Linked DNA regions of Coturnix japonica. The protein of the gene in region 1 interacts with the protein of each later gene in a pairwise test. Links are inferred from orthologs where the notes say so. Each region holds a gene or a part of one and is shown on either strand. Other genes may lie near its edges. The genes, in order: SRF and ELK4.

What was found.
Region 2: the proteins of SRF (region 1) and ELK4 interact in a two-hybrid assay, tested with the Homo sapiens proteins (2 studies listed by BioGRID and IntAct). The link is inferred for Coturnix japonica from reciprocal best matches to the Homo sapiens genes SRF and ELK4.

Annotation. Positions count from the first base shown.
Region 1 is NC_029518.1:3,481,983-3,496,738, forward strand, and holds SRF (serum response factor), read right to left. Parts: upstream 9,865-14,756; 5' UTR 9,801-9,864; coding exon 9,318-9,800; intron 9,143-9,317; coding exon 8,876-9,142; intron 6,482-8,875; coding exon 6,220-6,481; intron 4,399-6,219; coding exon 4,279-4,398; intron 3,365-4,278; coding exon 3,173-3,364; intron 2,827-3,172; coding exon 2,750-2,826; intron 2,475-2,749; coding exon 2,379-2,474; 3' UTR 355-2,378; downstream 1-354. Other genes in the region: PTK7 (inactive tyrosine-protein kinase 7), read right to left, coding at 12,994-13,154, 13,271-13,449, 13,527-13,678, 13,759-13,839, 14,386-14,618. UniProt on the Homo sapiens protein: SRF is a transcription factor that binds to the serum response element (SRE), a short sequence of dyad symmetry located 300 bp to the 5' of the site of transcription initiation of some genes (such as FOS).
Region 2 is NC_029541.1:2,496,947-2,511,937, reverse strand, and holds the start of ELK4 (ETS domain-containing protein Elk-4), read left to right. Parts: upstream 1-6,802; 5' UTR 6,803-7,042; intron 7,043-13,692; 5' UTR 13,693-13,701; coding exon 13,702-13,908; intron 13,909-14,689; coding exon 14,690-14,991. UniProt on the Homo sapiens protein: Involved in both transcriptional activation and repression. Interaction with SIRT7 leads to recruitment and stabilization of SIRT7 at promoters, followed by deacetylation of histone H3 at 'Lys-18' (H3K18Ac) and subsequent transcription repression.

The DNA.
Region 1 (14,756 bases):
CGCGGCCCAGCTCCGCCTCCGGGCCGCCCCGCTCACCTCCGCCCGCCGCTCCGGCTCCGGGCCTGGCCCCACCGAGACCGGAGGGACGGATCAGAGCCGCTTCCGTGTCCGGCAATGCTCCGCCAGGCGCCTGCGCGATGCCGCCGGGCGGGGCGGGGAGATGGCACCGCCTGCAGCCGGGGCTGGGCAGTAGGGGGCTGTACGATAGTAGAAGGGCTGTGCAGTAGGGGGCTGTACAATAGGGGGCTGTACAGTAGAAGGGCTGTGCAGTAGGGTCTACCCAAGTTCCCCATTCATTGGCTGTATATTCCCTAATGCCCCTCCACCTGCAAAACACGGACAAGACTCCAGCTCTGTGCACAAAATGATAACATTTATTGAAAGAGTAATTTATTCTTTTTTTTTTTTTTTTTCCCATACAAAAGAAAGCTCTGTACATAGTACTGTGATTAACTTCCACATCCTTCCAGATACACGACCCTGGAAACTGGAGGGGAAAAAAGAATCCCACACGCACACACACACACCTATGCACGCACACACACACCCGCACACATGCACGCACACACACAACCCTCAAACCAGTAAAATGAATTAAAAATGTCACCACACAATAAATGCCGTTTCGTCCCTGATACACGAGTGTTCTTACAAGTCTGCACTTAAATAAAAGACACCATTAGCGTTTAACCAGCGGTTGCCTTTGGGGAGGAAGGGAGGAGATGCCCAGCAGGGCACTGCCATCGCAGCCCCATAGGGCCAGCACGAGCAAAGCAGAGCAAAGCACAGCCCTGGTAACGGGCTTGGGGCAAGGTTAACGCACACCCCAAGCTCTCTGCAGAGGTCATGGAAGGAACCCGGCCACATCCGTGCGCTAAAAAACAGCACAAGCTGAGGCTGTGGAGGGGGAAACTCCAGCCCAGCCCCTCAGCTGGGAGTTCAGGAGGTGCCACCTGCACTATGGGCAGGGAGAGCAGAGATAGGCTGCTGACAGCCCCTCATCTCCCAGGGAGGGCCGGGACATCCCAGCAGACAGCACAGTTAAACGCTAACGTGGAGGGAACATGTCCAAGGTTACAATACAAACTCAAAAGCAAGGCCCCTTCCTGCCTCCACGCCCACCCACCCCTCTCCCATCCCCCCGGTACAAACCCCATGAAAACTGTACAGGAGCCAAACTTTTATTCCTTAAAGTATTACATAAATACTGAGTTTAACACTTAGAAAAATAAAGTCATTTTCTTTTTTTTTTTTTTTTTTTTTTTTTTTTTTTTTTTTTTTTTTCCTTTTTTTTTTTTTTTTTTTTTTCCTCCCCCCAAGGCTTCTTTTGTCTTTAACTTAAAAAAAAAAAAAAGAAGTTACAGTAGCTGCTCCTACCCCTAAGGATGCAGCAGCTCCTTTGCTCACTCGCTCTCCCTGCAGGGCCAGGACCAGGCAGCAGCTCCCATGCAGGACCAAGCACACTCCAGTCCTTCTCCTGTGGCCCTGCTGAGGCTCCTCCAGCCCCATTGCTCCCTGGAAGAGCACGCTGCCCACCAGCAGCTCAGTGCCTTGTGGACTCTTCCCTTTGGCACTGGAGTCACTTCTCCACCTTGCATCAGAGAATTTAGAAAGCAGTGGCTGGAGCTGCAGCAGAGGGGTGCAGGAAAGATCCAGTCACATCCCCCCCCCCCTCGGGCGTATGGAGTCCACAAGCAGCATGAGGGCCGAGATGGGAGCTCGGGGCTGGGAGCAAAGACACCGCCCATGGCCTCGCTGAGCTGCTGGGCACCCACTGAGCACTGCAACTGCCAACCCACCGGGCAGCCCAGCAAGGAGGCACTGAGGGCGGAAGCCTTGCTGTAGTGCACATGAGGAGGCTGGGGCCACACGCCAGGCCCAACCAGATATGCACATCCAAGTAGGCCGCTCGCTCCCTGCAGAGCCCAGGGAGAGCTGCCGCAGCCAGGACCCATCCCCCCCACAAAGGCACATTGCTGAGGCTCTGCAGGACAGCACCCAGCCCCAGCCCTACACAAACACCCACAGATGGGGTGAGCACCCCGAAGGGTCCAGGGCCTCCAGCTGGGAAGGGCCCCCAGGATGTATGTACAGCACGGAGCACACCTTCTCCTCACGAGACAAGCTTCTTTGGCTGGCGAGAGACGAGTATCCCAACGGCCCCCAGCCCTGCACGGCCCCAGCACAGCTTCTCCCCAGGCGGGTCCTGCAGCCCCTTGCATGCTGTGTGTGTGGGTGGGTGCGTGTGTGTGCGCATGTGTGGATGAAGGAAACGTGAAAAGGCAACAATAAATAACTGGTGCAGTCTGTACGAGAGAGTTGCTGCCAGCCCCAGCGTGACAAGCCAGGGACGGCACAAGGCCAGCAGCAGAGGCCTCTCAGTCACTCTTGGCGTTGTGTGAGGTGTCCAAGTTGACCACCTGCAGCTCCGTCAGGCTGCTGCTGCTGCTGCTCTGCTGCCCAATGACAGCCATCTAGAGAGAGAAGGGAGGAGCAAGTGCTAAGGGACAGCACTTAAAGACTGCTACCACCAGCAAGCCAGCATCCCTCGCCACTTGCCCAAGGAGGGCAAGAGCTCCTCACCCATGTGTAGGCGGCACAAACAGCTCCTCCAGCTCCCCAAGACCCGAGGACTGGCCCTACTCAAGTGCCCAGGCCCATAAAGGATGTTCAGAGCAGGACCAGCACTGCCCCAGAGGAGAAGCAGGAACAGAACCCACCACATCTGAGAGCACCGCTCTGCACCTACCTGGTGAAGCTGGACAGCTGAGACTGGGATCTGAACGGTGCCTGATGGGGCTGTCAGGAACACCTGGGGGACACCACCTGCCACAGAAAGAATGACATCATTTTCCAGATGCTGGGAACCAAGCATAAGCGTTCAATCCACATCCTGCATGCATGCCTTCACACTGTTTTGGCCCCTCATGCACCCACACATCCCTTCCAGTCTTCCTGACTCCCCCCACGCCAGCAACTCTCACCCTCTCACCCAGAAAATGACTCAAGGAATCCTTTACACAGGAGAAGAGCTGGCTCTAAAAAGCACAGACCCTTGCTGGGTCTTTTCAGTAGATATGATGGTTTAGAAGAAAATCCTCTAGAATGGATACATAGCAAAAAAACACATGGAAAAAGGAGAACCCCCAAAGAAGCACCAACCCAGACTTACCCTGATCCTGGACCTGGCTGTGGGACACCTGCATTGCTGAGGGTGCCTGCGAGAAAGCATTGAGGACTGCAAGTCCACCATCCGCAAGGCCAGAGGTGGGTGCGTACATCACCGCGTGCGGGCTGGGGTACATCATGTGGCCGCCCACGGTGGTTGGCACAGACGACGTCATGATGGTCGCTGGGAGGGTCACTGGCAGCAGGACAAACTACATGTAAGTTACACTGCAGGAACCTGCCACACTTACACACCTGCACAGCCACCCTCCCTCTCAGCCCCCACACGTGCTAGCAGCAGGCATGGGGAGGCACACACAGTGTTCTCCCAGGGAACAAGCAAGAGAGCTTTGGTCAGTGAGAACAAGGCAGCCTTACAGACAACACAAGACTGAACTCAAACCATGGTACAGGTTTCCTGATGAAGCTAATTTAAGCTGTTGAACTGGATTCGGTCTGCATCCAGGCACCTGACATCTTTTTTCCTTTTATTTAGTAACAAAAAAGGGTGTCCTCAAGAACACGCAAACCAATGCTTTGTGCAAGGGGCAATGCTGGATCAATAGGAAACCATCTGAGAACTAGGAAGAGCCTGGCAACATGTTCCCAGCTCCATGCTACAGGATGAGAGGTGATGACCAAGTTGTACCAGGGAAGGTTCAGGTCAGTGTGTAATGTCTTAGTAAACATTTCTTCTCCCAAATTGCAGTGAGGCAGTGGTACAACTGCCCTGGGAGTGGTGGGGTCACCGTCCATAGAGGTGTCCCAAAGCTGTGGGGATGTGGCACTGAGGGACGTGGTTGGTGGGCATGGTGAGGGTGGGTTGATGGTTGGACTGGGAGACTTTAACAGTCTCTTCCATCCCTATTGATTCCATGAAAGAGCAAGTAATGCACCAAGACTGGTTCTGAAGTCTGCTGAGGTACTCCACACACAGCACCTAGCTAGAAGCAGCAGAGCATGGGAGCTGCTAACAGGGATAAATAAATCTGGGAAACTGTCAGCGTGGTTGGGATAGCTGGACTGAACGATGCTGGGTCAGGAGAGGGGTGAGGGAGTATTAACCGTGGTTAGAAAGGGAGAACGCAGTTATCATGAAGCCCCTATTACCTGTTCCACTGGGAGAGGTCTGAGTAAGGTCAGTGCTGCTGTCACTGGAGGGAGACGTTTGCTGCGGTGCCTGGTGCACCTGGATCGCCTGGACAGGGACTTGCTGAGCCATGGTGCCACCTGAGGAGAAAAGGGAGCCTTCAGTCTGCCAGCCTTCATCCCTCTCTAGCCATGCACAGCTCCACACATGGCCCATCACGGTGCTGGTGCACAAGGGCCAAAGAGGGGTCAAGCTGGCCTGCAGGGCTCTGGAGGGAAAAGGAAATGCCACAGCAGCTTCTGTCCAGCATCTAGGTATAGTTCAGGGATGTCAGTGGCCCTCATTACCAATCCTGTCCACAAGGACATGGCACGGAAGATGCTGTGAGGAGGGCACCAGCACAGCCCATTGCTCAAGCAGCCCCACAAAGCCAGGCTTTCAGCATTAAGCAGAACAGCAAGAGCCCACCTTCCACAGCAGGGTCTTCACCCTCTGGAGCCCAGCATCATTCTCTGCAGGGCACTCAGGAACAGCCACCCCAAAGACAGCGCAGTGCCTTGCATAGGAACAAGAGCACAGCTGCCCCAACACACAGCCCAGGGCTGCATGGGCAGTCACACAGCCTCTGAGCCAGCCTGCTCAGCACATGGCTCTCAGCATGGCTATGCAGACACCGAGCAGGACACAGAGCTCCCCTCAGGCTCACTTTTTGCCTCCAGAGGGAACAGCAAGTGATACCAGACAGAAAACCCAGGTTGGACATCTCCCCATACACCCAACCTGTGGCTTCTGGTGCAGCATCTCCCCATGCAACACACCAGAAACACACAATCAGCAATTAACCTCTCAGCTCCTCCAGACCAGAAGGGAAATGTGGTCCCCTTGCACAGGCCCAAAGGAGCTGCAAGAGGCCATCAGACTTAGCAGCATGGAAACGAGCGGCACAACACAAGAATACGGCCTCACCCACAGCACTGGTACCAAGGAGACGGTACCCGAGACCTAGTACAGCACTCAGAGAGCCCTTCACTTGGCACAAGAGATTCCTGCCAAACACAAATGCCCACACAGCAACACCTCGGTCTCTTTCATCACCAATCTTCTGCACTGTGGCTCAGCGGCCAACTACAGATCTAGGCATGACAGCTGCTCAGAGCCAAACACTAACACTCAAAACCACATCCACAGGGCACCTTAGCACCGTAGTCTCCCTCCATCCATCACTCCTCTCTGCTCAGCCTCGGTGCATCAGCAACCCATCTCTTACGTGTACACAAGTGTGGAGCAAAGCCTGGCTCAGGGGACCAAGAACTGCACCTGCCAGCACACTGCTCACACCAAGACCTGTCCCTCTGTGTCTCCCAAGACCACAGCCAGGCTGCTCTGCCTCCCCATGCACTCACCTGTGTGCTGGGGTCAGCTCCCTGAGCAAGGACAGGGTCCCTGCACGAGCCTCCATTTCCCCCAATCTAAAACGAACAGAGCAGAAGGAAGTGCTGACCTGTCAGCGACAGGATCTGCCCTGCAGCTCTGACAGGGAAGCGGAAGACCGTGTGCTGTGCCTGATGTAGCTGTCCAGCTGTACCCACGAGTGCCTGACCCTGCTGGCTGGAAAAAGCCAGCGAGTGTGGCTGTAAATGAGGGAAAGGAATGGCAGGGGTCCCCAGAGACAGGGAAGCACCTGCCAAAAGGAGGGAGAAAAAAAGGCTTCATCACCACCAGCTCTTTTTGCTTCCTCCAGGCCTCTTTGTGCTGTCCTGGGGTACCTTGCTCAGCTCCCAGCCACCACACCCTTCCCAGCAGCAGGGCCCTACAGGAACTGTCACCGATCAAACAAAGCATCCCAGCCACGTTCATCCTAAGGCAGCAACCACTGCCTCCACCGGCAGCCAGGTCTCCCATTCTCAACACGTCTCGAGAGCAGAGATAGACAGATGAACACAGCACTGAGTAGCACTGACCTGACATGAGGGTGAAGCCGGTGGGTATCTGCATGAGGCCCCCGGATGTCACTGCACTGGCTCCAGTAGTCTTCAGCACTGTCCCGTTGGCACTGGTGACGGCACTGGGGCTGATGCTGGCAGACACTGGCGCCAGGTAATTCGTGATGGGGAACGAGGGGCCGCTGCTGACCTGCATGGAGGACGAGGTGGTGGGCGCCGTTTGGATGGTGGATGTCGTCCCAGGCAGGTTGGTGACAGTGAAGGTGGGTTTCAGCACATCCTAGGGGAGGAGAAACGGTGACAACTCAGGCTCTGCGGGCCGTGCCCCCTGTGCCGCCAAGGAAGGGTTAATGCGGGCACACTTGCAGCCCTCCCGCAGCACGGCGGGCCCAGCACTCCCACGTGCTGCGCCTTGTTCCCCGCTTGTCAGGCTGCCAGCAGCCAGGAATTCACAGCTCCGCGAACAGCTAAAAAAGGGAAGGCAGCCCATTTTAGACAGGGGGGAGCCAATCCCGGGCACTCAGCCCTGCCCCAGGGCCCGTTGAGGGAGGAGAGCAGAACCCCTCTGCCTTGGCACCGTGGTCCCCCCACGTCCAAATTAGAAGAGGCACGTGACCACGGCGCGGCGCCCAGTGCAGGCACTTTCCATTAGCTCAGCCACAGCCCCCCGCGACGTGGGAGCTGCAGGCACACTCCCACCTGGGCCATGAAGCCCACTTGGCTCTGTAAGCTATGGCAGAGTGGGCTCGCTTCCAGCTGGAACAGCCCAGCTCCCTCATCCCCACACACAGCCCTGCACACCCCAGGGCCTGTAACATCTCCACGCTACATCCTCTGGGGCATGGGAAAGGCAGCCCAAGATACACACAGAGCAGCTCAGTGCTCCCTTAGAACACGAATACAATGAGAAAAGCAAAGGGGCTCCAACCATGCACACCCAACTCTGCCACCTCCAATGTGCTACTCCTAGCTCGCAATGCCAGCACAGAGAACTGGGACAGCCCTTGGGGTCGGACACCTACCACCTGCCTGGGATGCTCCTGAGCCCCTGGGCACCCTGACTCGCCCCAGCACCCCACTGAGCTCAGCCTGCATGCAGGAGCCAAGCTATGAGCCACTCTCTGCAAGGGTACCCAACGCACCACACATCCAGGGTACCCCTGCAGGTTCTGGCCCTGGTGCTACACAGGAGAGATCCCATTCTGCTCTCCAACAGCTGCTGTGCACTCCAGCTAGGGCACAAAGCCCCATATCCTTCCCCCAACCCAAGCTCCTATTCCAACCCCAGTCTCCCTCCAAACAGGGCACTGGGTCCTTTGGTGGACTACCCACATCAGCACACAACAGCTCTGTTGCCAGGCTGGAGCTGTCCCAAGAGCACAGCATCCCCATGTCCCCGCTGCCATCCCAGCTGCACTCCAGGGCAGGCGCTGGGGCTTGGCACAGCAGGAGGACCTCGCAGCTGCTGCTGGCTGCATGGCTCCTCACGCTGCTACTGCAGCCAAACGCCAGCAGATCCCGTCCGTACAGGGAGCAGCTCTCAGAGCATCAGCAGGGCTGTGCTGGAGCCTGAGCCAAAGGGCACCAAGCTGGGCTGGCACCAGAGAGAAGAAGGTTCAAACCTCTGCAAAGCAACCACGCCACGAGAACACGTTTCCTTTGGGGCCACCTGGCAGCATTTCCAGTGGAAACCTTAAAGGACTCTGCGTGAGCAAGCCCTGCACCAGGGACGAGTCAGTGGCACGCGCAGCCCTTCCTGCCCCACGCCTGCTGCGAAGGGCTGGCACAGCTCCCACCAGGCACCCAGGGGAGTCATGCCAGCCTGGGGAAGCTGGGTTCCCATCAGTGGGAAGCCTTCCAGGGCCAAGCCCTGGTTGGGGGGCACCCAGCCCACAGCACCTTATTCCATCACACCTCTAGGATCCCCAGCAAGTATTTTCCCCTCAGTGGTATTTATGGGGCACAGCAGCATACACACCGAGAGCAGAAATCCCTCCCCCAGGTAACCAGCAGCAACATGACCAGAGGTGATGTGGGATGTAAACACGTACAATAAGGATTCCCAGAGCACTAAGCTGTGTCTGTACTCAGTCTCTGGGGTTACACCAACAGCACAGGGCTCTCAAGCACCCTCACTGGGCTCTGTTGCACACAGTCTCCACAGGGCAAGGCTGGCACACAGCGAGCTGGAGGAGCAGGATGTCACTGCTCATCCCACTGGAACAGGTACAGCGGAGCTCACAGCACCCAACTGGACCCGGGGAGCTGCAGCACAGCCCCAACTCTGTGCACATCTCTGAGCATCCGCGTGCCCAACCACTGGAGCCCCTCGAGGAGCAGCATCGGGGCACATCGAGCTGCCCTGCCCCGGGGCTAACCAGCAGCACGGCCAGGCAGAGAGCAGGAACACTCGGTCCAGCCAAGTGTTTCCATTCCCCATGTCCTCCCTGCCCCCTTCCAAAACAGCACCAAAGCAAGAGACAGCTGCAGCTTATAAGGAATGTGAGGGGCCCTGCCAGGGACTCTGGCGAGGGAAACCAGGCCTTATAAGGCCATGGAGGCAGAATCAAATTTTTATCAATGAGTGCGAGCGCATGGAGACGCCCGGGGAGAGATAACGGCGCCCAGAGGCCGAGCGGCGCGGGAGGGGGCCCGGCCCCCAGCGGGGCCTCACCTTGGTCTCCCCGCTGCTGTCCGACTCAGACACCTGGTAGGTGAGGTCCGTCTCCTCGAAGCCCGTGGCGCTCATGCGCTGGTCGGTGGTGGGGTCGGAGCGCGGCGGCGAGTCCGGGGAGTTGAGGCACGTCTGGATGAGCGCCTTGCCCGTCTCGCTGGTGATCATGGGCTGCAGCTTGCGCGTGGCGAACGTGTACACATGGCCCGTCTCGCTGGCCACCAGCAGCAGCACCTGGGTGCCGGTCAGCGTCGACAGCTCGTAGGCCTGCGGGGCGGCACGGGGCGTCACGGGGACCCTCGGCGGGGGACGCGGCGGGCAGCGCTCCGTCCCTCCCTCCCTCCCCCCCCCGCTCGCCCGCCCCCCCCGTCGGCTCCGCGCTCCCCCGCATCCGCCCCCCGCCCCGCGCTTCCGGGCCGCTCCCGGTGCCCCGGGGCCGCACCTTCTTCATGATGCCGGTCTTCCTCTTGCTGAAGGTGGTGTATCGCCGCAGCTTGTTGTCGATGAACTCCATCTTGATCTTCACCCGGCCGCGCGTCTTCTTGCCGGGCTTGGCGCCGCTCACCGCCCCGCCGCCCGCTCCGCCGCTCCCGAACGCCGCCGTGGCCGCCGCCGCTCCTCCCGCCGCGGGCACCGACACCGCCGCCGCCGCGGCCGCCGCCGCCGCCGCCTCGGCCAGGCCGCGCTTGAGGCCGCGCCGCTCCGGGCCCAGCTCCTCCTCCTCCGCCGACTCCGAGTCGCCCTCGCTGCCGCTGTACAGCGCCTCCCGCTCCAGCCGGGCCCCGGGCGGCCCCGCCGCCGCCGCCGCCGCCGCCCCGCCACCGCCGTTCGCCCCGCGCGGCACCGGCGAGCGGCCCATCCCCGCCCCGCGGGCCAGCGCGGCGGCGGCGGCGCCGTTCCCGGCCCCGGCCTGGCTGGGCAACATCGCGGCGGGTCGCGTCGGGCCGGGCCGGGTCAGGCCGGCCCCGCCATGGCCCCGCTCCGCGCTCACGGCCCCGCTCCGCCGCCCCCGCCGCGCCGCGCCGCCCCCATATAAAGCGATACAATGTTGCCTTTTATGGAGAAGCCGCTCCTTATATGGGGCGAGCCGGCGCCCCGCCGGGAGGCGCCGCGCTATTGGCCGCCGCCCGCCCGGCGCCGCCGCCCATTGGCCGCCGCACGGCGGTCGATTTGCATACGTTCCGACCGCTGTCGCGTCACCCGCGGATTGAAACATGCGCGGGGTCTTAAAGGGGCCGCACCGCGCGGACGGGCGGCACGGGGCGTAACGCGGGGCGGATGGACACAGCGCCTCCAGCACACGGACCGGGCTCCGATCACAGCGCACCTCGCTCCTTCCGCTCAGAGCCAGGCAGAGCCGTTGAGGTGCAGGGAGGCTCCGGGCCACGCGAGTACACGCACAGAGTGCCAAACCTCGTCCCAGCAAAGGGCTCTGCGGGACAGCACGGAGACACCCCTGCGGGAGGAGGGGGGGCTCGCTGCCTCCATCCAGCTGGACGCCCACACAGCTGCAGCAGCCCATCTCATCCAGCCCCAGCACTGCCGTGCTGCCCACGTGCCTCGTGGCACAGGGGTCTCTGCGCTCACCCCCAGCCCGTCTCTGTGTGCAGCCTCCTGTGGAGCAGCGTGGCAGCCGAAACAAACACCCCCCTTGGCTGCCCCCCAGCCGTGCTCCTCCAGTGAGCACACATGCCATTTTTAGCTCCCACAGGGCGCTGGGGCTCACATGCTTCCCATCACATGCCCTGCCTGCCCTGCCCCGGGGCCCAGCACCGGCCACACCTGGCGCAGGTGGCCCACGAAGGGCTGCAGGGCCTCTCTGCACCATATGGGCCGGGCAGGTCCCCTACCCAGCATGGGCGTGCAGACACCACATGCACCAGGGCTGGGGTTACCTTGATGCCACTCTTCAGGCTCAGAGCTCTTGGGCTGAGGGTTGAGCCCCTCAGAGGCCTCAGGCCTGATCTTGGTGCTCAGGTGGGTTGGAGGTGGCAGCAGCCGCCCCCCCCCCCAAGCTCTGTAAATGGGAATAGCAGGGAGACACAAATCAGACCAAGCCCTTAACAGCAGTCCCACAGTACCTGACCAGAGCAGGGTGAGCCAGCTGCTGTGCACAGGCCTCCTACAGCTGCTTACATACCTACCAGGAGATATGCCCAGAGCCAGGCTGGATAAGAAAGCTACAACACATGCTGGCAGCCAGGCCAAAGCAGCAGCACCTATGTGGTAGACCAAAAAAAGACCGAGTAGCTTTGGCTGGAGGTTAAGTGCAGCTCCTGGGCCACTCCCCTGGGTGGGAGGTCCCAGGTGAGGCTGCTAAGAGCAATTTGGTCCCATTGGTTCCCTGCAGGGCTCTAATGCACCCACCTGAGTGCCACAGGGCAGCAGAGGAAAGCCAAGTGAGCCATGGGGTGGGCCTGTGCCCCATAGCAAAGCCCCTGGATCTCTGGGCAAACAGAGGTAGCCAGGGAACATAACGGCAATACCAGCTCTCAAGGGCATGTGGAGGCACAAGGCCTAGAGATCCTTATGCTGCAAGCAGTTGGCAGCCAACAATGTGTGCCTGCTGCTTGCACCTCATTCTGTGCCATACACGTTTGGGTTTGGGGCTGCTAAGTGGCCCTTTGCTATGGTGAGGCTATGCTGCTCTCCAGCCCTGGGTATGACACGCTGCCTTCCTTTCCCAAGGCTCTGTGTTCCCTCCACTTGGGTTCAGGCAATGAGACCCCATCCCTGTCAGCTGTCCAAGTCCTCTCCTTCTCCAGCAGAATGAGATGCTCCAACAGCCCGCTCCCCCGTGCCGCATTTAGCTAGGGCCCTATTTGTTCAGCCCGCTGGTTCCAATTAGTTTGGCCAACATCTGCCTCGTCCCCGAGGATACAGAGCTTTTTCATGACATCACTCCCCAAAATACACAGCCCCAGCCCCCAATCTTTCTGCACCCTCTGGGTCTGGAGTTTGTCCTGACTCTGGTGCCTTCCCATATGCTCATGGTGGGCAGGCACTGGAGCCCTTGCAGTGTATCAGGGTGAGGCTGAGCACCCCATCCTGACACAGCTTCCTATAGCTCCAGCTGTTTGCATCTTAACACGGGGCAGCAAGGCGGGATGCACACCAAAGGCCACAGCTCAGCTCTGCTTTGGTCAGGTTGATGGTTAGACTTGAAAATTGTGGAGGTCTTTGTCAACCTACATGATTCTAGCACATGTCCAGAAGTGAGCCCTTCTCATGCTCCACGTGAGCCTTCCCCCCGGCCAACAGGGGATCCTGACACTGCTGCTCCATTGATGGTCAAAGCAGGTTGCTCAGGGCCCATCCAGCCCAGGGCTGAGCATCTCTGGTGATGGAGAACTCACAGCTCCTGGGACTGTCCCAGACCCTCACCCTCATGACACACGTATCATGCTGCAGGGACTGCCCCAGCACAGCAGGGCTTCTCCTTGCCAAGACATGCACAAGATGCAATGGCAGGAGTCTCCCCCACACTTGAGTTCCTGGCCCTGGGAGGAAAAGTCAAGCAGGCAGTGACAGCAGTGTCTTACAAAGACACCAAATAAAAGAGAGAGGGGAAAAAAAAAAAGCCTTCTTTATTGAGAGCAGCACATATAAACCCAACCAAACCCAACCATTCTTGGCTGCGGTACCCTCCGCTCAAGCAAACAAACTAACCCACTCTAGGCTGCGTTCCAGTAACAGAAATACTATGGTGGGGAGGAGGCAGCACCGGGGGAGGAGGAGGAGGAGGAGAGCGCTGCCCCCAGGAGTCGTACAAAAAAAGGCACGGGGAAGGATCTGGGGAAAGGTGGTGGAGCGTCTCCTTCATATGCCAGGCACTTTGTGTTCCTGATAGCGGGCCGTGCCCGCAGGCAATGCCTAGCACAGATGGACGGACAGATATGCACGTGGTGAGCAGGGAGGGAGAGCCCGGTGCCAGCAGCCCACGGGCTTTGTGCACCCGTGGAGGAGAGGGGGTGTGTGGGGGAAGTACACTGGCTTGTGCTTTGAGTCCAGCAGCCGCTGGTGCCGCGTGTTGGGGTCGGGCTCAGCGAAGGCTGCAGGAGCACCGGGGGCAGCGCAGAGCCCCTGCCCGCCCTGCCGCATCCTTCCCAACAAGGTGCTCAGGCTTTGCTGTCGGCCGGGCTGTCCCCGAGGGTGGTGGCGAGCTCGCTAAAGGAGGGTCGGTCCTTGGGGCTGGGCGCCCAGCAGCGCTGCATCAGCTTGGCAAGGCGTGAAGGGCAGCCCTCGGGCTGTGGGAGCTTCGTCTTTCCCGACTGCAGACCTGGCAGAGAAGCAAAGGCCAAGGGGATGTTGGGAGGAGGCACCATCCCCTCCACGGGGAGTGAGGAGCATTCACCACGACGCGGGCTCTCACGGTGCACGAGGTGCTCCACATACCTGCTAGGACCTCGTCATCTGCCAGCGGGGTGTACGGCATCTCCCCCTGTGTGAACACCTCCCACATGAGCACCCCGAAGGACCACACGTCTGACTTGGTGGAGAACTCATCCTCCAGCACGGCTTCGGGCGGCATCCAGCGCAGCGGGATCCAGGCCTGACGGAAGTGGTAGTACTCGCTGCAGGCAGGACAGTGGCAGCTGGTGAGATGGGCATCGCTCTGTGCTCCCACCCCCCCACCAGGATCCCGGCTGACCTGTTGTACACATCCTTGCTGAGGCTCAGGGCTGAGACCTTCACCTGCCTCTGGGCGCTCACCAGGCAGTTCCTGGCCGCCAAGTCCCGGTGCACAAACCTGCCGTTGGAGAGGTGCTCCATCCCCAGCGCCACCTGTGTGCACAGAGACACCTGGCCCCAGCGAGATGCTGGCACTGGCAGCCCTCCCCAGCAGCCCCGGCGCTGTGGTGCTTCCAAAGCCACACGCTCACCTTGTGCTTGGTGCTGAGGGGCTGCGGCTTCAGGGACTCATCCTTGCTCTTGGAGATTCTCAGGAACTGCTTCAGGTCCCCCTGTGAGATAGATGGAAGCTCAGAGTTGATGTTCTAACAACGCTCATTGGTCCCCATAGTGCCTAGATGTGGTGGGCCCACAGGAGCCTTGTTCTATGGGCCATGGCCCTCCTGATCCCCGCAGGGCAAACTAGTATCTCCCTAAAGGTAAGGTCAGGGCAAGCAGGCCCATGCTTCCAGAAGGCCAGCCATGCCCCAGAGGGCTTCCTATCCCACCAGCTCCAGGCTCCCCCTAGCAGTAACCCACATTTGCAGCCATTGTGCAGTGAAGGGTCCCAAAGCTTCATCCTCCTTGGGATTCATAGAATCACCCACCCCTCACCATGGGCTGGCTGCCCCCCACCAGCTCAGGCTGCCCAGGGCCCCATCCAACTTGGCCTTGGGCACCTCCAGGGATGAGGCACCCACAGCTCTAGGCAACCTGTAAACTCAGCCTTGCCTCCTCACCCTCACCCACCCAGTGACAACAGCCCAGACCAACCCAGATGCAGGACGCCATCTCCACTATCCTCCCACAGGCTCAGGAGCTGCTGGTAGGACCCTTACCAAGTCCACATACTCCAGGACCATATAGTGCGGCTCAGCCTCACGGCACAGCCCCAGCAGCCGCACCACGTTGGTGTGGTTCAGTTTGCCAAACATCTCTGCCTCGCGCCTGAAGTCCAGCTGCAGCTGTTCATCCCTTGTCTGCAGGCTCTTCACCAGCACCAGCGCTTCACCCTCACCATCCTCTGCACCTTTTGCCTTGGCCAGGAAGACTTCACCAAACTCCCCCCTACCTGGAAGTGCAGAGCAGCACAGAGGGATACAGCATGCATTAGGACAGGCAGCTTGGTAGCAGCTGGACCTTCTGTGCCCCAGTGCACTGAGTTTCCTGGCTGGCACACACTAGACCAAGAGTTTCTTGTTGAGAAGCA
Region 2 (14,991 bases), on another chromosome or scaffold:
CTCAATGGGATCTGCAGCAGCGCTGTTAAGTGTCTTTAGTTCTTTGAGCACTGCTGGAGATGCACAAGGCTGTAAGAAACCTGCCCGGGTTTGTTCAGCCCTTTCCTGCCCTCCGGGTGGGCTTTTGTTTGTTGTTCATGCAATAGAACTGTGGGCTTTGGATATGTGGGATTTATAGTAAAGAAACCTTCTGAGCTGTGGAATCCGTGGTGTAATTCAATCATCCTTGGGGGTATTCTGAAAGGATGGAGACTAACTGAGCTGCTCTGCAAAGGTGGAAAATCAGGTTGGGAAACAGTTTGGTAGCCGGGGGGGGGGAGGCTCTTTGGAGCCAGAGCTGATGAGAGGGTCAGGAAGCAGAGATCAGAGGGGGATCAGAGCATTGGGATGGAGGCAGGGCTGCGATTTGCTGCTGCCTTTCAGGTGATGGTTCAGAGCGGGGATTTGTGTTGTGATGAAAACACGCAGCCCGCAGGCTGAGCTTTGGCTGAGCACCGTCCTCACCTCGCATGGGGGCAGAGCTGGCTCTGCTCATCGCGTCTGGCTGGCACAGAGCTGTGCTGGGGATGAATGTGGGCAGCCCCAAGCGATGCAGAGCAGCTCCGGGCAGACGGGGAGCTCCTTAAAGGAAGAGTCTTTCTGTTATATCCAAGCTGCTTCTCAGAAATCTCCTCTCCCAGCTGGCAGGACCCTGGGGAAGGGTTGATAAGGAAGACTGGCTCAACAGGTTTGCAGCTCTGCAGTAATCTCATGGACTTGTTTACTCTGGAAAACACTCCCAGGTGACTTTGGCATCGGTTTTCTTTCTCTTGGAAACTCACTTTCCTCATTAGAGACATCCAAGACACGCAGGCAGGGTGGCTGTGCCATTTGTGACCCATCCAGCAGCACATGCCTGCCCTCTGGTGCAGGTGGAAGAGTTTCACTATGTAGTTTTGCCTTAATAAGTTTGATTCTGGAAGGGATCGAACCCTTAGCAGCCTACATAGGAAGAGGGTTGGTTGGCATGTGGGTTTTTTTGAGCCACAGCATCTTTATTATCAAACAAAGACCATTGACTGCTTATGATGTTTTCTTTCTAAGGCACAGTCTGTTACACTCAAAGCCTGGAGTCTTCTGACCACCTCCTGGAGGGCAGGTACATCAAGATCGTCCCACTGCCCAACCCAATGGGATCTGGGATACTGGGGGTGTCCAGGATCAGAAAGCAGCCCCTGTGTGTCTGAAAGCCCCCACAGCCCCTGTGTGTGTCCATAAGTGCCCACAGCTGGGCTGCAGCAAGGTGTACACCAAGAGCTCCCACCTGAAGGCCTAAATCTGCAGGCACAAAGGGGAGAAGCCCTACAGCTGTGCCTGGCTGGAGGTAAGTGGGAACTATGGGGGGTGGGGAGGACCGAGCTTTGCCTTTTGCCTTTGCTTTTTCTCCCTGTGTGCCCCCCCTGGCTGCCCATGTCCCTCCAGCACGGCTCCTTTGTGCATCCTCTCCCTTTGCTCTGTGCACAGCGTTGTTCTCTTTCATCTCCATTCCCTCAATTGACCTCTCTGTGCTTCTCCGTTTGCTTCCTGCTGCAATGTTCTCTTCCTGGTACCCACATGCCTGTCCCCAGGGGCAGGATGCTCAGCACAGCCTTTGGCAAGGAGGGTTAACAGTCCTCAGGTGTTGCATAGTGCTTCTCCTTCAGCAGATCTCAAAGGATATCACAAGGAAAACTGGTGCTGGCAGCACTGAGCTTCCTTGGTTTCTTGTGCAAGGCCTTGGCACCATCTTGCTGCCTTGATTCCCTGCACGGTGGAGGGCAGCTGCAGTCTTAGGAGGAGCTGAGACTTCGGAACTCACTTTTTTGAGCTGGAAAAGAGCTGGTTGGGTTGCATGGATGAACTGAGGACGGCCTTGGGATGCATTTAATCTTCACAGAGCTTTTGAAGGGCAAGCATTGTGTTTGCTGTACCAGGTGTGAGCTGGGAGTCTGGGGTTACATCTGAAGCTCCTTCCTTTGTGCTTCTTTTGCGTGGGCCTGATGGAAAAACCCTTCCATCCTAATACTGCTGCCATCTGTGTTGGCTCCATAGAGGCAGAACAAGAGTAAATCCTGCCCTGTCCTCCTCTCCTGCATCCCCCTGGCACTCAGACATGCAAAGCACCCTGCAGTCCCACCAACCCCAGGCTTATCTGAGGTGGCACCTTGGAAGGGCTGAGCATCACCTCCCTGCTCCCTATTGGAGCCCTGTGCCAAGCAGAAAGGAGCAGGAGAATTGAGCAGGGATGATGTGCTTGTAGTTAAAGGGACTTCCCAGGTGGTACAGCTGATCTGTGTGGATATCACACAGCCCAAAGCAGTGTGAGCGCTGGGTATTCCTGCAGTCTTCGCTGCTGCTGCATCCTCAATTCATTCGCTTTGGCATGGAAACCTCTGCTCCCCTGCTGCAGGCTGGCTCTCCTGCTCTGTGCTCTGTGCTAAGCCAGCTCACACACAAGCTGCTCCTCTCTCCCAGCCCTGACATTGAAAACTCACTGCCATTCTGAGAATCAAAGGGATGCTCGCAATGCTCCATGCTGCCCTTCTCCTTACTGGTTCTCCCATTCAGATGAGCTCTCCAGGCACAAGAACTCGCACTCCGGTATCAAACCACACCAATGTGCCACCTGCAAGAAGCACTTTGCTGGCCAAGCACATGAGGATCCATCAGGGCCAACTGGGAAGCAATGGGATGTAGGGCTGACTTGGTGACAGTGCAAGGAGAGCTGAAGAAGAGAAATGACTTTGTAGTGGCTGATGGTGCTTTGGAGCTCTCCCCAATGACGGGCTGCATTCAGGCTTTGTTTCTATGTGATACACATGGTGGAGATCTATTGGAGTCCATGGGGAGCTGAAGGGGATCCTAAAGGATCATCTGCATGCAGACACAGCCATGCATGTGGGTGCAGGAGAGCTGCATGCATTGGCTGGGGGGAGCTCTGCAGCTTGCTGACGTCCTCTTTATATTTAACTTCTGGTTAATTAAAGGCCAACTTTTTGCTCCCGTGCCAGCTTGCCAAGCTTTTGCAAACATCTGGGAGGGAATCAGGTGCTTGTACAAACAAAGAACGAACGTCAGGAGTTCCAGCTGGGTGGTGTGTCCCTCCTACGTGGCTTTGCCTGCATGTCTCAGGCTGATGTTTGCTGCCTGCAGGCCCCTTTGTCACTCAGGTTTGCTTGTGCCATTATTGCATTGTGCTTCTAGGGCAGGACTTTGTGTGTTTGTGTGGAGCTGCTGCTTTGGTGAGGAGATTTGGGGTGTACCTATAAGAAGGGCAGGGAAATGAACCTAATCCTGTTCCTAAAGCAGAGCTTAAACTCCTTGATTTATTCTGCTGCCCCTATGCCCAAGAAACACCTCCTATAAGTGACAAGCCGGGGCAGGCAGGTATACAAGGGCCTATTTTTGGTTGCCTTTTGTGTTAGTGGATTTTTGCCTGACCAGGAATTCACTAAATGCCCTTTCCTTCAGGGCTCTCTCCAGGGGCTTCGTGCCAACGTGACTCATGCCCGTCTCGTGCTTTCATCTGCCCTTCTTTTGCTCCTCTCCCTCACTCCAGACTCTCCCAGCACACTCCCTGTTCGCTTTGGACCTGCCTCATCCTGCCTCCCTCTGTTTGAAGCCGAAGGCAACTGGGAAAGGCGCCTTTCCAAACTGGAGCAAGAAGAGCCGTGTCTCAGCCTTCATGCCAAGCAGTTCTTCCCTCCTGCAGCAGCTATTTGCTGAGCAGATGCTATGGGGTGGATCTGCTATGGAAGACGAGGCTGGGAGCGCTGGCTGTGGTGTCTTGCTGCTCACCTGGTTGGTTTTGCCATCTCTTTTAAGCAGACCACAAAGGGAGGGGAGAGATCTTTAATAAATAAAACACTCCAGATCCGTATCTCTTGAGCAATGCGTGTTATAGTCTCACCTGCTTCCCTCTGGGGACTTGGGATGAGTGGCTTAGAAGGTTTACTTGAAGGCTCTGTAATTATCCGTCCTTTGCTCCAGTGAGGATATTACTCTGCAGCACAAATGCTTTGTGGAAGCACAGATGAGAACTGTGGCCATGGGAGGAATGAGGAAGAGGAGACCCTTCTGTCTTCCCAACTATATTGGAGGTGCTGAGATGCATCTCATACGTGTGTCATTGGGGATGCTGGGTTCCAGCCCAGCTCTGTGCTGACCTGGGCTGTGTGTGTGTTGTTCTGCCCTGCTGGGAATGGGAAGGGATGGGAGGAACCTCTTGCAGTGTTCTTGCTGTGGGGTTGCTAAGCGCTGCTCTTTAGGAAATGAAATGCAAGCAGGCAGGAGTTGTAGCAGAGCAGGATGTGGGAAGAGCACAAAGAGAAATTCAGGCGACGTTTCTAAATCCGTCCGCCTGGATACAGGGATGAATTTACTCTGGATATAGCAGCAGGCAGAGCCAGCCCCACGCTGCAGCCCACAGTGGCACCTGTGCAAGGGGCTGGAGCTGCTGTCCCCATGGTTGTGTCAATGCGTCCATCCCTGTGTCTGGGCAGGGGGTGTGAGGTCCATGGGTTTGTATGGGCTGGAGAAGAGGGGACTGAGGGGGGTCCTCATGGTGGTTCTGAATGGCAGCCTATAACTTCCCATTGCCTCCAGCTTGGCAACAATGAAGACAGAATAGTGGGCATGGTGGGGAGGGGTTGATGGTTGGGCTTGGTTGTCTTTTCCAACCATAATAATTCTATAACACTGCCAACACCTGTACCCCAATACAACCAAGCAGCCCCACTCTGACTTCTCCTTTTGCTGTCTCTTCCCCTTTAAGACACTGTTGCTCGAGTTGCTTCTTTTTAAAGCATCTTTACGTATGAGCTTTCTCTAAGACCTGCCTTCTTGCCTGCGCTATTTCATCCCATCCCTTTGTCCTACATATTTTCCCCCCCTTGTGATGTTGTCTAAGATGGGAACAAACCCACGTTCGCTTGCAAACCCACGGCAGGGGAAGCAGAACAAAGTGAGGGCTGCACATAGAAAGAGATCTATTCTCCCTCTCTAGGAAAGACCCTTTGGGGCTGATTCTCAGTGAAGCTGAGCTGCAGATGAGGCCATGTAAATGGTAGGGCACAGGATTCCCCGAGCTTCACGTCTTTCAGCTCCCTTTCCATCTGTATCTCGACCTTTAAATGCTATTAAAGGGATTGTGAAGTAAAACCGTCCATCTCCATCTTGGTTTCTTTCACTTCATTTGGGACCAGCTGAGGGAGATGGGCTGTAACAGCACAGAACTTCATGGCAACAAACACTAATTGCAGCTGGAGGTGCTCGGGTTTAGCTGGGATCTCTTCATGTGTGTTTGGGGTGATGGCACAACAAGAGAATAAAAGAAGAGGTTTGTTAAGAAGAGCAATTAGGTGAGATGTGCACGGAGGGCTTTGCACAAACACATCTCACCTCTTGCTGGCGTGCAGCTGGAAACAAACCCCATAGGTTGCATGTTTTGGCATGCGTTGTTGTTTGACTGCAAGAGCTGCTTGAAGGGCTTTTGTTTGCCTCTGCTAGTTGTGGGTGAGGCTGTGTGTGCATTGGGGGGGTGCATTGCTGCTCCCAATGGCAAACCCAATGGGGCTCAGCTCTCCGGCTGGTATTGAATGTGCTCTTTTAGGTTGTAACTCAGGGCAATCAATGAGCCGCAGGCCAAGGCAATGAGCAGCATCTGAGCACAGTGGGCAGCTCCTTAGGGGCTGCTTTAGTGAGCTTCAATGGGATTAAAGCTCCTGCTCTATGCTATGACCCCCCATTGCTTCTGCTCAGCCCTATGGGTGCTGCAGGGTTGTGCTGCTGCAAAGGGAGAAGCAAGGAAGGGAATAGAGGACGTCTATAGGGTTGTCTACAGGGATGTCTATAGGATGTCTATAGGGACGTCTATAGGGTTGTCTATAGGGACGTCTATAGGATGTCTATAGGGTCGTCTATAGGGCTGTCTATAGGGACGTCTATAGGGTTGTCTATAGGGTTGTCTATAGGGATGTCTATAGGGGTTTCTATAGGGACGTCTATAGGGACGTCCACAGGGTTGTCTATAGGGACGCCTATAGGGTTGTCTACAGGGAGGACTATAGGGAAGTCTATAGGGACATCTATAGGGTTGTCTATAGGGTTATCTATAGGGACGTCTATAGGGTTGTCTATAGGGATGTCTATTTGGATGTCTATAGGGACGTCTATAGGGTTGTCTGTAGGGTTGTCTATAGGGACATCTATAAGTTTGTCTATAGGGTTGTCTATAGGGATGTCTATTTGGATGTCTATAGGGACTTCTATAGGGTTTCTATAGGGTTTCTATAGGGTTTTCTATAGGGTTTTCTATAGGGTTTCTATAGGGACATCCATAGGGACGTCTATAGGGTTGTCCATAGGGACATCTATAGGGATGTCTATAGGGTTGTCTAGATATGTCTATATATGTCTGCTACACCTTCAGCTTCTCTCTATGGCCCTTCTCCTTTAAGGATACCTCCATCCCCCCTCTGCTATCCCGGCCATTTAAACTCATCTCTACATTCAACCACCGCTCCCCTTCAGCCTTACACTGCCCCATATCACTTCGGTTCTAACCCGGTCCCATTAAACCCCATTATCAGCTCGGCCCGGCCCGGTCACATGGCAGCGAGCGGCCTGTACGGGCATAAAGCCTCACTGACTACATTACCCATAATGCATTACAACAAGTGGGCGGAACCTCTTCTTTCCCATTGGTCAACAACACCCCCGCTCTGCTCGGTGATTGGACCGTGGGCCGTGGGCGGAAGTGTGGCGTACGGTGGCCGAGTTGGCTCAATCGCATTGAGGTTGGCGTTGCGCGTCCCGCCATGTAACGCTCCGCCGCTCCCCGTTCCGCCTCCATCCATCAGCTCCGGTTTCTCCTTCGCTTCTCAACCCGGTTCCTCCCTTATAGGGATGGGGGGTCGGTGTTCGACACACCGAGGGGGTTCCCGGTCATGAAGGGTGGCTGGGGGGGCCGTTCCCAGCACCTGCCCGCAGCGACGGGACCCGCAACGAACGGGGATCCTCCTCGGTAAGAGCTGAATATGGGGTAGGCCCGAATATAGGGGGGTTAGGCCTCAATATAGGGGGGGGGTCGGCCCTAATATAGGGGGGGGTCGTTGCTTTAAGGCCCCGGCCTTGAGTTGAGGGGGGGACCAGGTAGTAGGTGGGGGTTGGGGGGGGTCAGGAAGTGGGAGACTTGGCTGTATGCTGTGCTATGGGGTTGGAAGGAGGAGGATACGACCCCATTCTGCTTTGTTTTGGGGTCTTATTTAATCTTATATATATATTAACCCCCCCCCTCTACACCCCATTCCCCTGCCCCCCCCTCTACACCTTCCCCTGCCCCCCCACCCCGTTTTCTTGCCTTTTTTCCCTTCTGTTCCACCTCTCCCTTCAATCTGGGCGGATGCTGCCCACATCAATAGGGCTTGAAATCCTTAGAGAAACTATATGTATATATGCAAATCCACCGCTGTGCTTGGCTTTATTTTACACTCCTGTTTACAAGCCGGCCAGTTACACAACGCTCACCTCCTATGTACAGCCAGATATCTTCCATCCCGCTCCATTATATCCTGCCCCATTGGGGGCACACAGCATCGATACAGCTTGGCTGCTTTGCTTTTAAAGCAGCAGCTGTAGAACCATATGGATGTAGAGTTGGGTTATTAGCGTTGCTTCCCCCCTCCCTTTCTTTCCTATGGCACCAGCACATCCTCCCTCCCAAACAAAACTGCGCCGTCGTGATTTCGACCCGCCTGTTTATTTTTAGGGTCTCGGAGCCTGTTTGGAGTGAGGAGTCGTTCCCATCATCATAGCAACGGGGCTGAGTGTATTATAAACATTATTAGAGGAAAGCTTTTCCATCTTAAAACGAGGCTTCCTGTCGGTAATAAGGTTAGGGTCAGCTGGATGCATGGGACCTGTTGTTTCGGGTCTGAGCATCACCCAGCCCTTCCCAGCAGGGATGCTGTTGCGTGGTGCTATTGAAACCAATGGGATCTGCTGTTGGTAAACATTCCCCTTCAGCCCGTTGTGGTGGCAAATAAGGAGGAAGCGAGCGTGTAATCTACTTAAAGAGGCTTTTTTGGGTTGAAATACGTGTTTCTGTGGCTTACTCAGAGCCAGTCACGTCAGTGATAGAAACCAATCACAGGAGCTGCGTTGCTTTAAGTTTGCCGTTCTGTTTGCCCTGAGCACGCAGCAAATGCTCAGTGAGGATGGGAAGCTGTCGTTTAACAGATGGGAGGTGAAATGATGGAACAAACCAGCGCTGAAACAAACAGCTCGACGTGTTTTCTGCCTCCTTAATGTCTCCTAAACCCTCAGCTTTGAGCCGACAAGGCGACATGGAGCGCAGCAGTTGGGTGAAGTAAATAGGACTTGGAGAGGGATGAGGTGAGGGAAGCAGCCCTTATCTAAAGGACATCCTTTGGTGCTTCCTTCCCAGTGCTTCCTGCTCTTAGAGCTTTTCCTGCCAGGGTTGAAGGGAGGGCTGCAACCTGTTGGAGCCTGGAGTTGTTTTCTTGCTGTTTGTTTCTTATTCTTGCCTGTTTTTTTGTGGTCTGAACGCTCCTTGGTTTCCTTGTTTGGAGGCATCAATGTGGCAAGGTGCAGGTTTAGGTGAATCCCTTATACATGGCAGCTTTGGGATTGGGAATGAAGCTACAAAGGCAGTGTGACAGAAGGACTTAAGGGTGTTCTTAGGGTTCCCTTTGTGTTCCCAATGAGGGCTGGGTGCTGTTCCCAGCAGGAAAACCTGACTTTTGGTTCTCTATGCACTGAAATGAATCCAAATGGATCATGTTCTGAAGGTAACAGTGGAGCTGAATGGCTTTCCCAGCGGCTTGAAAGTGTTTCCTGAAAGCTCCTGTTGGGAAAAGGGATATTTCAAGTGCTGCTCTAATGAAACTGTTGCTTGATTGTGTGTTGCTGGCTGCTTAATGAGATGTTTCATCAGCGATGTTACAGCTCTGGTCCTTTTACTCCAATAAAAGGAGCTGGGGGAATAGAGCAGCTCTTTACTTATTGTTTTGGCTGCAGACAATGAACTGCGTGATCTTACCTTGAGTTTAACCCTGTCTGATGGAGACCCTGGGCCTGTGACCTCCAGAGATCTCCATTAATCTGGCATTGCTTCTTTGTTTGTTTGCTTTCCTGGCCGTGTCTGTGCAAGAGCATTGCACAACGTTGCACGGGGGTTTATTGTCTGCACGTGCCTTCGGTTTACACATCTTCAGCCATTAGAAACACTGGGGAATGGTACAATGCAACCAGAGCAGCTCAGCTTTGCTGTCTGTGTGCATGCAAAGCAAGGCAGCAAGTGCAGCTTCCTGCCACAGTGCAAGGGCTTCGTTTGCTGCATGGCAGAGGTCCCAAAGCCCACCTCTAACTTAATGCTGCTGCTATATTAGACTTATTTGTTAACAGAGAGCAGAGTTTCTGCTCTCTGCTGGCAAACGTCTGTGTGTTGTGGTTGGTGCACACAGACGCAGTGCTGCTTTTGTTGCTGGCAATCTTTGAGCAGCATCTTTTGTGGCTCATGTCACCAGGTGGTTCTGCTGCTGCTCAGCTCAGCTTTGGAGATGCTGCTTCTATATCTGGGCAGCTGGATGGGTGTCAGTGCCTGCAGGTGATGGCTTGGTCCTCCCTTTCCTTTGCATTGTGCATTGCTTGCGTGGGGGATTCTAACGAGGTTGCAGCCCCGACTGCTGTAATCAGTCCATCTGCAGAAGTCATCAGCCTGCAGCTGCTGATAAGGAAACATGCCGAGGCGAAGGATTACTCGAGCTGTTCTCGGGGCTGACTCAAAAGCAGGAAACATGCCAGAAGACCTCAAAGATGGGGGCTGGTAGGGGGGGTGGGATATAGATCTGCTTTGCTGGAGCTCCTCTGGGTGCTGCCTCCCTCGGGGCTGAACCTGAAGGTTGTTGTTCTGCAATGGTGAGTAAATCTGTGGCCACAGTATGGAATTGCCCTGTGCCACTTCGGAAGCTGTGCCACCCAGCAATTGCACACTGCCTGCCACTAATGATGCGGAGCCCCGAGGCTCTGTAATCACCCGGATTGTGGCGTAGATGGATGAGAAGTCGCTGGAAAAGATGCGTATCTCGTGTCCCAGCTCTGATGTAAACGTGAGGCTTTGTACCTTTCTCAAGGCCTCAAACAGAGCTGCAGCAACACGAGAAAAGCTCCTCTTCGCAGCGCTCCTACTTAGAAAAGTGCAGCCAAATGCTGTCAGCTCCTCTGTGTGCTTCAAGGGTCATCTGTAGGCGTCAGAGAAGATCTCAAGACAATAATAGTGCTCTATTTTAGCATACTCATTACAAAGTATAACTGCCCTCTGCCTCTAGCAACTATTTTTTTCCTCGCACTCAAATGGTGCAGAAGTGGGAAGGCTGTTGTCATAAACAGTGCTGTTGCCTCTCTGCCTAATTCCCTCTTTGTCTTTTCGCATGAGACCATTTCCCTTCTCCGTGGACTCTTGCAAGGAAAATAACCTTCAGCTAAAAGGCTGCGCTTGTAATCATCAGCACATTCATCTCGAAGGAAAAGCAATCAGACGAGGAGGCTTTTTCTGCTGCTGGGAGCTGTGCTGCAGCTTGATGACATCTGGAAGAAGCTGAGGTGTTCCATAGGAGCCACACGAGGAGCAGCATCTCAACATTGTGAGAATGGGGTGGTGGGTTCCCATCCTCCTGCCCCAGCTGCAGAAGGAGGAATCGATGTTGAATGCATCCTTTGGGTTCTCTAAAGTCACACACAGAGCGGCTGTGCTGCTTTTAGTTGTGCATCTAGTGTGATGTTTTGGTTCGGCTTCACTTTATCCCACTTCTTTCTGGAGAAGCAGCAGTTCTTTGTGTTCTCGTGCCCTATCAAGGCAAGTTTAATGAAGTTCAATTACACGTGCCTTTGTTCCTAGCATCACATTCTCCTATGCATATATTACTCCAGAGGGGCAGGGTGTACCTGCCCACCTGTCCCACTGCTTCAGCCTGATTGCAGGGTTATTATTTCCCTTTATATCTAATCAGGATGAGCTTCTGGATACATTCAGGTGTCGCTCCTGTTGTTTCCTGTAGGTGTGTACAATAAGGAATGAATGAAGAGGGGCGTTCATCTGCAGCATAACCTGGCCGTGCACGATGCTGTGCTGCATCCTTAATGAAATGGTGGAAGGAATGGCACACGGTGCTACAACCTGGGACTCCACGAGTGTTGGTAGCATACAGATGCATCTGATGTTTGCTGTAGCCCCTGGAGGGGGATTCCTCCAGCCATTAAGCTTTGCTGTATGCAGAGATCACAGTGCCTGCATCCCAGGAGGCCTGGTGTTGTTGTAGATGCTGCTGAGCACAATGTGGCACATTGCTCCGAAGGTGGCTTGTAACAAATCTCTCCTGTTCAATACAGGCATGTGCTGTGCTGCTGTTTGTGCCATGAGAGCACAGTTGTGTTGGCTGTGTGCATCTCAGCTCTGCTCCAGCCACGAGCCAGGCAACGATGTGACTGCAGTAAGGTTGGAGTGTGCTGATAATAACAGCAAAGTGCTTCTTGCTCAAGGGAAGCACACCGAAATTACACGGCATTTCAATTTGGGGATGCAATCATCACAGGTTTTTAGGAGGAGAAAAAGCCTTTGCCTTCCTGAGATTCTGCTGCTAATCTAATTTCTGTGTGATTACCTCCCATTGCATCGCTCGGCGCTGTTTGGTGCAGTGCTGCTTATATGGGCTTTGAAGCTGCTGCAGCTAAACGTAGCGTGGGAATAATCACTCGACTTCATTTTCCTGCTCTTTCTCTGTTAACACTTATCACGGCTATTGACAGCTCTGTAGAATGGTAGAATCAAGTCCTTATGTCTACACAACACCCCGTGCGTGTGCATCATCCTGACAGGATAATGAGGCTGTGCTGGTGATGCTCCATAGGAAACAGCATTGGTAAAGTGCACAGCAGAAAGCAGGGAGGGCTTTAACTCCATTCCTTGCCCCACAGCTCCCTGCTGCCCCTGCAGGGCTCACTAAGCAGCTGCTGTCTTCATAGAGCTCTCAGCAATTAATTTGGGCAGGCACAGAGCTGTAAGCATCAGTAATTAATGAGGAAAGCACCTTAGGCCAGCATAACTAGGTGGTGTGGGTGTCCTTCATTTTGAGATTGTTGGCTGTAATTGCAGCAGTTGAACCCAGTTGATCAATGTTACCTTGCTGTGGAGTCATGTCAGTGTGCCATCAGGCAGGTATTTGTGAAAATAGGTTAAATGCAATGAGCTCTGCCCAAAAGAATACCTGCCCCGGGGCACCTGATTTAAATAGGAATGCTTGGTCCTGTGTATACTGTCAGCACTAATCCTTTTTCAGGGCTGACTGGATTCTGAGGCTCTGACATGTAGACTGTTCTCTTCCTTATTTAGGGCTGGCTAAGTGCTGGGCAGTAACGAGATTGGAATAAAGGCTTTGGTAACTGGCAGTCCTGCCTGGATCTCAAACTTAGCCCTGTGTGCGTGTGGACCTCAACAACACAAGCACGAGTCCTTGCAGGAGCCGTGAACCTTCAGAGCCTCCTCCTACCAACAGCACTTGGTGTCTGGAGCTGCACTCACTCAAACAGGAACCCCTGTGCCATTTAGGTTGGCCTTTATCAAGGGTTGGGGCAGGGGGATATTTAGCAGGGCCCACATCCAGCATGGTTCTATGGGAAGGCTCTTATTGCAGTGCAGCCGTGTTTGCTTTTGTTACGTTGGAAGAAGTTTAGGCCGTATGGAGAGAAGCTGTGTGTTGTGGGATAAGAGGATCCATATGGGATATTGCATTAATATCATTTTATCTGTTTTAATTCACAGCCTGGCTTATAATTCCTTTGTATGGACAGGATTATTGGTGTTACACTTAAATCTTGGTGGAAGTACCACCTCATATAGGCAGGGAATGACCTCCCTTCACTGCTGACTACATCCCCACCTGCAGTGCTGGAGTGACATTGGTCCTAAAAGACCTCAGCCTTACAAACTGATGTGTGTGAGAAAAGATCAAGAGAAGAGCCAAAGCAATGCTTGAAATCGTATTTGCTTCTTTTCTTCTTTGCTTAATTTCTTAGAAAAAGAGACGAAAATTGCAAAAGGAAGATTAGAGAGCAGGGTGGGGGGTGGCTGGGAGGGACATTAGCAATGTGAACTGAAGGAAGGTTGGGTTGTTCTTTACAGTGATATCTTCAGGCAGCTGAAGGAGGAGGCTGCAGGTGGGTGGGAATGGAGGAGGTGAGGGGGGAGATGGTTTGATTTTTACCTGGGTGCACCTGAGCTGTTCCTCAGTACAACACAGAATGGGTGAACGTGGGACAGCTTAGAATTGGGGTGGTTTTCTTTTTGTTGTGTGTTTTTTTTTTGGGGGGGAGGGGGGTAATGACTCATTGCAACTTACCCAAAATGACCTGATTTAGTTAAATGAGGCTAAATATAACCCATGTGAAAAGGACTGACATGTGGGAGGAGACGATAGCAGTTGGCTCTCAGCCTCCCTGTTCTGCAGGGAACATCTTTCACGACTGGTGACTAATAATTTTTACTCTTGCTGCCTTTGGAAATAACATCTCTGTGCCCTCACCCTCCTTCTAGGGAGACACAGAAAGATGCACCGTTCCTAATCTCTGTTGCCTTTTCTCTGCCTTTCTGCATTACAGCTTACTGCTATGGACAGTGCTATCACCCTGTGGCAGTTCCTCCTCCAACTCCTGAAAGAGCCTCAGAACAAGAATATCATCTGTTGGACCTCCAATGACGGGGAGTTCAAACTGCAGCAGGCAGAGGAGGTGGCCAGGCTGTGGGGAATCCGCAAGAACAAGCCTAGCATGAACTATGACAAACTCAGCCGTGCTCTCAGATACTATTATGTGAAGGTAACGAAGTCCATAAATCCACCTGAAATCCTTATCCATCTTACCAGCTTCTGCCTAATGAGCTTTGTTTCCTTTTTCATTCTCTTCAAGGGGGTAGGTGTCACTTCTGGCTTCAAGAATTAAGTGAGGTGCACTGACTTAAGTTCAGAGGTTTTTATTTCCCTTTTTATTTATCCTCATGCCCGGTTCCTCCCCAGTGGTTGTTTTATAAGGTTCTGGATTGGCTTTATGCAAAATGGTTTCCTTTTAATTTATGTCTGTATAATAAACATCCTCTGTGACCCAAATTGTGTGTGGCTTTCCAGTGAGGAGCAAGTGTGACAGAGGTTTTATGATATTGAAGTAGCTGATAAGCCCACGTTCTGTTGAACAGTTCAGCTGCTTATTATCATCTCATTAAGAATAAGGTATCGGGCATCAATTCTACAAACCTTGTAAGCCTTAATTCTGTGTGTTCTCCTCTTAGATTATGCTTGCAGTGCCCAGAGCAGTGATCTTAACTTCAGTGGTGGTATCTTTGTTTCCTAGAGGATCTTCTTAACTATTTGAAACAGAGTTGCTCTGCTGATTTAGGGTTTCTGTTGGTGCACTGAGGTCAGGTTGAGCTCACCTGTTGTGTCTGTGAATTGCAAGAATGCAGCGTGTTTAAAACAAAGGAAAAGAAAGTATTTCTGTTTGAAAGATTACAAACTATTGAATTCCTCAGTCTATTTTAGGCAGAGTTTGTAGCAGGAAAATGAATCTAAAGAAAGGCTAAAAATACCTATCTTCTTACCCACAGAATATCATTAAAAAAGTGAACGGTAAGAAGTTTGTGTACAAGTTTGTTTCTTATCCGGAGATCTTAAAAATGGATCCTCTTGTCGTGGGCCGTATAGAAGGAGAACCCGACCTGACCAGCTTTGCAGAGGTTAGCAGTGCTCCAAAGGACGTGGAAAGCTGCGGGAAGGAGAAGTCTCAGTCGTGTGCTAAATCCTCCAGCCGCAACGACTACATCCACTCAGGCTTGTACTCCTCTTTTACGCTGAACTCCCTGAACTCTTCCAATGTGAAACTCTTCAGGTCCATCAAGATTGAGAATCC